Coturnix japonica: one gene and its partner. The protein of the gene in region 2 purifies or fractionates together with the protein of the main gene of each other region. This does not show direct contact. Links are inferred from orthologs where the notes say so. Each region holds a gene or a part of one and is shown on either strand. Other genes may lie near its edges.

Region 1 (2,809 bases), on a different chromosome or scaffold from region 2:
TAAGTGGCAGTTTAATGAAAAGGAGTAATTCACAATGAGCGTTTTGGCTCATATAATATAGTGACACATGTCATATTTGAACAGCACTCTTGGAAATAATCTGAAATAAGTTCTCTTGCTTATATGGAATTTAAAAATTCTTCATCTAAAATTTGCAGTTCGCCCTCTGAGCAGAGAGATCACTATGAGCCAAGCATACCAAAACATGTGTGCTGGGATGTACAAGGTAATTTTTACATGCTCTATTGATCAGTGGCTTCTTTTTTAAGGAGAATAAAGTATAGATTACATGCCATCTTTATTTTTAGTGGAACTAAAAATGAAATTCAGGTTTTTAATGTGGTATAGTAAATTCTCTACTTGTTTTGCCTCTGTCTAGACTATCTTTTATCTTGCTTGCGCAAAAGACAGTGTAAAACTAACACTTCTCACTGTACTCTATCCTGTCCTTTTTAGACAATGATTGCATTTGACATGGATGGCAAAGTAAGAAAACCAAAGTTTGAATTGGATAGTGAACAGGTGCGGTATGAGCACAGATTTGCTCCATTCAACAGTGTTATAACACCACCCCCAGTGCACTACCTGCAGTTTAAGGTAATTTTAAAAAAGCAGCACCACTCATGCTTTTGTCACTAATCCTTTACTTAGACACTACTGTAATTACAAAAAGAGCTCTTAATATCTCAGAGTTTGTATTAAGGCATACCTGGGCATCCTCAGACAGTAATAGGGTGTTCCTGTTCTTGATAGAGGGTTGCAGAGTGGCTCTATGGTCTTCCAGCTTAAGACGTTCTGTAATTCTTTAAATCAAAATTGCAGGAAGTTCTATTTTTAGTTGTATGCAAGGAAATCTGTTTTAAATTCTTACTAAGACTTTTAGATAGTTGGAAATGGATCTACTCTCACAGTTTAAGATGCTTCTGTTGATTTGCATGAAAATGAAGTCTGTTGAAAGTCCATTGACAGACTTCTTTGTTGTAGTTTGTCTAGTAGAATGTTTTTATTACAGCAATAGTTAGGAAAAGGAAACAAGGATGAAACTAGATTTCACTTTTAAATAATGGAAGCACTGGTTGGAAGCACGATATGTGGAGGTCTACCTTTGTTCAGTCTCATCCTAAGTAGTGTTACAGATCAGACCAGCTGTATCTGTGTTTAGTCAAGTCCAGAAAAAATACAGAGATACACATTCCTTGTTGGAAAACCTGGTCCTGTTACTTTTTCTTCTCCACTTAGTCTGTGGATAACCTGATTCAGGGCTGTACTATTTGCATTTTCTTGTCATGTTCAGTCTAAATCTCCCAAGCTGCAGTTTATGGTCTTTCCCAGTCTGCCATCACAAAGAAGCTTAAGAGAACCCGGTTGGTTTGTATTCAGCTCAGTGTTTGCTGCAACAGTGCTCCTCCTCCAGTTGGTGACTGGAGTATACTCCAGTCCTATGTGGGGTTATTCTGCTTCAGTTACAGCAATTTCAAAATTTCATGTTGAGCTTAGGTATCTGTTGGCCAATTTCTTAAGCTTTTACAGGTCTATCTGGCACTGAAACTGTAATATATAGCATGCCAGCCACACTCCTTAATGTATTATCATGAATAGCTGTTGTGGAAATTAAGACATGGCTTCTTCCCTGTCACTGAAGCTTTTATTCACTCTCAAAAAAAATAGCTGAAGCTTCAAAATTCTATAAAGTGAAGATTTGAGTAGAGCGAGTCTTAAATGTTCTTTGAGTAAATACTGTTACATCCATTTGGCTTCATGTTTTGGGTTTGTTTTTTTTTCTTTTTTGCTCCTTTTTTCCCTATAATTTTATTCCCTACTGCATAGGACTAAATAATCAAATGAATGGCAAGTTGTTGTGAACAGGTATCACTTTATAGCAACATCTTGTGGCAGTACACAGTGACAATTAAACAATGTATTGCTGCTTAGTATTTGCCTTTTAAAATAAATGTTTTTAACTTTACTGCTTTTTCTTAACGTTATCTTTTTCAACACAATCATCTTCAGTCAGGGTAATAAAAATACAACTTTTTGGCAACTGATCTTAACATGTATTTATATATTTCTTTAATATGCTAGGAAATGTCCGATCTAAATAAGTACAGCCCCCCTCCTCAATCAGCAGATCTCTACATGGCAGCTAGCAAACACTTCCAGCAAGCTAAAATGATTCTTGAGAATATTCCTAATCCAGACCATGAGGTAAGACTAAAATACTAGAAAAATTAGTGGTTGCTAATGACAGAATGTGTTTGATTGAATGAGTTTGCTTGAGATCCAGGGTACCCTTACATGTACTCTTCAAAAATGCTGAGTAAAGCTGAATATTTTTATTAAGGACTGATCAGAGCAGTGTGGTGGCATTTTACACAGCAGTTCATCACATTTAGTAATGGAATCTGGATTGTGCTCATGCTTCCAAGGCTTCTCTCTGCTGAATATCTTAAAGGACAGGCAGCAACATAGTTCTTTCTTGTATGATACCTGCTGGTGTCACTTGAAAAACATACCAGTTTTACCAGGAAGTTAACTTCCACGCATTCATAGCTCATCTGAAGCCTGATAATTTTCCCTGAGAGATGAGAAAAATTAGTTTGAATGGCTAGAAAGTAGATTTGAATCTGGCAGCAGTTTTTTTTCAGTTCTAGATTGTAAACACTTAATGTTTGGACCAGTGTATAGGGTAGATACCTAAGGTCTGTCTAAACTTTTTTTTTTTTTTTTTTTTTTTTGGACAAGTACCTCAGAATTTGTTGCAGTCTTAATGGTATTTGTACTTAAGCATGGAAGACAGTGGTCTTGTGGT
Region 2 (3,831 bases):
GAAGAGTGCCTGAAAGTATAACTGACGAGGAAAAAGCATGAGCTAATTCAAGCTCTTGGAGCCAATCTTATGACTGGGAAGGTGTAACCACCATGTAGAGCAGACTGGCTCAGGCAGCAACATTTGGAAGTATTCAGAGAGGTGACCTGATGTGCCCCAGCCCCTCATGGCTGCCCAGGAGCATTTTTGGTATTTGTTAGGCACTTGGAGGGTTTCAGGTTCCTGCTGTGTGGGGGATGATATTGATAACTTACCCCCTTGGGACAACACCTCTCCCTTTGCTGTTTCAGCTCAAACAGACACTGTGAGACCTTTTCTCTTTCTTGCAGCTGGGTTGCCATCACTGGAGAACTGGCAATGCGGCCGCAGCCCTGAGCACAGATTCAGCCTGGGACACCCAGCAGCAGCCATGAGCGGCCTCCTGTCACGCCTGGACCCACGGCGGGTGCCATGGGGGGCTGCAGGCCATGCTCTGCGCTCCCGCGTCCTGCGCACCAAGCCTGTGGAGTCAATGCTGGAGGGCACAGGGACAGCAGGAGGACAGGGCACACGGCTGGCCAAGGTCCTCACCACGCTCGACCTTATCTCCCTTGGTGTTGGCAGCTGCGTGGGCACCGGTATGTATGTGGTGTCCGGCCTGGTGGCCAAGGAGATGGCAGGGCCTGGAGTCATCGTGTCCTTCATCATCGCTGCTGTCGCCTCCATCTTGTCAGGTGAGTCATTCTAGCAGGTTTTGAGTGTGGTCTTGGGTACACTCTGGCTACCTTCATGGCTGAACAGCATGCCAATGACCAGCACTGGTCTCGTGATGTTGGGAATATCCATGAGGAGATGGCAACCAGGACAGAGACATCACAGAGGGGTAATGACATCTCCTTACGCTGAAAACCCCTTTTGCACTGGTGTTCCCCACCTGGATGGGGTGCCCAGGTACGAGGAGCCAGCAGGACGGTGCAGGTGGGGCTGAGCCCTGCAACTCCTCTGCTACCTTTGGAAACATTCTTATTGGCTCCCGTTCACTCAGGATCACTCTTTGAATTTCCAACAAAATAAAGTAAACAAAGCAATGTGCAGAGAGGGAGGAATTAAATATTTCAGTGAAAAGTCAGCGAATTGCCTCCCGTGAACCCAGCTGAGCATATGGCCTGAGCTGCAGTTTCCACATAAGCCAGTACTGCTGGCATTTGTCCTTTCCAGATCAGCGCTAACATGATGATGTGATGCCCCCGCTCTCCCCGCTCACAGGACTTTGCATGCTGTGTCAGTCTGGCAATCCAGCTTGCGTGTGTGGGCTGGACAAGGAAACCTGACTCAGTGACAAAGGACTTCAATGCGGGATGGGAATGACCTGACTTTACTTTTCAAGTCCTTGGATTATTGTGCTTTCCCCATTCACCACAGCCCATTTTGTGATGCAAACCAAATGAAGTGGAGCAACCTGGGTGGGTCCTCTCTGAGAAAACACGTTGTCCCCAAAAAGAGCTTTTTTCCCCCAAGCTGTGGGCCCTGCCCCACAGCAGGGAGCTCCTGCCGGCCCCACAAGCTCTGCCGCTCCCAGCCCTGCTTTCATCTCCCCCCTGCTTGTGCAGCCCTGGGAAAGTGTTTTCATTATCTCCTTGGCCACTTCCTTGCTTCATCATTGACACTGCTGTTGTTTGTAACAGCAGCGCATTTTTGGCAAGTGAAACCCAGTAAGGGCTGGGAGCCGGACAGGCTGCAGTGGGGATTTCAGCTCTCACTTCACATCCTGCAAGTGTGCATGGATGGATTTTAAGGAGTTGCTCTGGTTCACAGCTCGGGCAGATATCCACATCACCTGTGCTCACCCTTGGTTATCAAGTCAAAGCCCATTACCTGCAAATTAGCCTAGGGTCTTTGGATGAAGATGCTCCTTCCAGAATGTAGTGTAGATTGCTGGTGCTGAGAGGGGCTGTAATGCTCAGAAGTGGCTGAGAAGAGACGAGACCGTTGGTAGCAGACATTCCATGGAGGTCAGGATTTCTTTTGCATCAAAAGGGGAAATGGCACCTGCAAAGAAGAGATGGAACTTAGCAGTGTTGCAAGGTCCTGGTTCCACAGAAATTTGGGAATCATTCTGGGAAATGGGAATGCCACTGAGTTTGATGGCATTGGGGTTTGTCACAGCCATATGCACAGAGTAACATTCAGTTATGAAGCTTTATTATCAGTACTACACTACAGATGGAGCTGAGATTAGTAAGAGAAAATCTATGCCCTAATAAGTTATATCATCTTCCTTTTTAAGCCATGCATACAGAGGGGAGTGCTGTGAACTCTACTTCTGCTGGAGGACCTGTAGAATTGTGAATTAAAATGCCATTATTAATGCCACCTGCTATTAACTCAGTGGCAGTCAGGTATGAACACAAGTTTTGCACCTCCCAGCCCCCCGGACTGCTACCACATGCTATGATAAAGATTGATTTATTTCTTAATATACACTGAAACCTAAAGCAGATAAACCCTACAGGCTGCAGTATACAATGAATAGAGAAAGATGACGATTTTGGAATCCCTGTAGAGTAATTGGAAACTCAAACATTTTATACATACAAAAATATCTGCTCTGCCATTATCGCCGTGCATCAATAAGAACCCTCTTCAAGCCTTATCTTGTCGTTGGCTGAAAGTACTGCTGCCAAGAAAGATTATATGATTTTTAAAGCTACCAAAGACAGAAACCAGACACTTGTCCCCACCAGAGCACCTGTTTCATAAATCATTCAAGCCTGCAGTTATCCGTGAATGTCTTACCTTTGCGGAATGCATGCATTTTTAATCAGCTTTGAATAATGACTGTGTGGGACTGGATGACTGGGACATCTTGTTGCTCTCGTAGCTGGGCCAGCCCTATAGAACTCCAGTTTGGAAGAGTTGTGTTGAAAACTGTAGCTAGGAACAAGGACCCCACCAATGCGGTCCTGCCAGCACTTACCCTGACCAACACCCTGAGAATTTCTGATTTCGTCCATCCACAACTACTTAATAAAATCTGATGGTTGTTTCAAGATAGCAGTGTGTTAGGATCAGGATTTTATTGAAAAATACCCTGATGTAGTAAGTCTGGAAAGTATTAAATCCCATTGAAATCTCCTCCCAAGCAGCTCCAGTTACACACTTTTCACCTCTCCCCTTTCTTTACAGTTTTGCAGTTAATCCTCAGTATGAGATCTACAAGCAATACTTAAGTGTTAAAATAACTTAGTTCTTTGTGAGAGATGGCTTTAGACTCATCTGGCATGGCTAGAGTGAGAGCAGGATGAACAGGGCAGTGCTCATACATGCACCTGCATTGTAGTGACCCAGAATATGCACACAACATCTTAAGAGGAAACAGCACAGAACACATTAGCATCTCTATCAGATGAAGAAGGAACATCTGTCACCATCAAAGCTACTGTATGGAAATAGGGTCACCACGACCACACCACCATACTGCCCACAGATGCTCTCTGTGGATGAATTTTAATATATAAACATTTTTTCTTTCCAAACAGGTGTTTGCTACGCTGAGTTTGGAGTGCGGGTCCCCAAGACCACAGGCTCTGCCTATACTTACAGCTATGTGACAGTGGGGGAATTTGTAGCATTCTTCATTGGCTGGAATCTCATCCTGGAGTATCTGATCGGCACAGCAGCGGGTGCCAGTGCCCTCAGCAGCATGTTTGACTCTCTGGCCAACCACACCATCAGCCGCTGGATGATCAGCAGCGTTGGGACACTGAACGGGCTTGGTGAGAATCGGGCTGGAGAGATGTGTGTCTTTTTGTGCAGAGCCTCCTCCGTTAATTAGGGCCTGAAATGTAATTG

What was found.
Region 1: the proteins of SLC7A14 (region 2) and GOLM1 purify together in Homo sapiens (co-immunoprecipitation; 3 studies listed by BioGRID and IntAct, with this or other methods). This does not show direct contact. The link is inferred for Coturnix japonica from reciprocal best matches to the Homo sapiens genes SLC7A14 and GOLM1.

The regions. Positions count from the first base shown.
Region 1 is NC_029547.1:36,934,503-36,937,311, forward strand, and holds the end of GOLM1 (Golgi membrane protein 1), read right to left. Parts: intron 2,206-2,809; coding exon of another isoform or gene 2,083-2,205; intron 804-2,082; coding exon 679-803; 3' UTR 628-678; downstream 1-627. Other genes in the region: NAA35 (N-alpha-acetyltransferase 35, NatC auxiliary subunit), read left to right, coding at 159-226, 457-597, 2,083-2,205.
Region 2 is NC_029524.1:17,484,520-17,488,350, forward strand, and holds part of SLC7A14 (probable cationic amino acid transporter), read left to right. Parts: intron 1-329; 5' UTR 330-409; coding exon 410-713; intron 714-3,518; coding exon 3,519-3,755; intron 3,756-3,831. UniProt on the Homo sapiens protein: Imports 4-aminobutanoate (GABA) into lysosomes. May act as a GABA sensor that regulates mTORC2-dependent INS signaling and gluconeogenesis. The transport mechanism and substrate selectivity remain to be elucidated.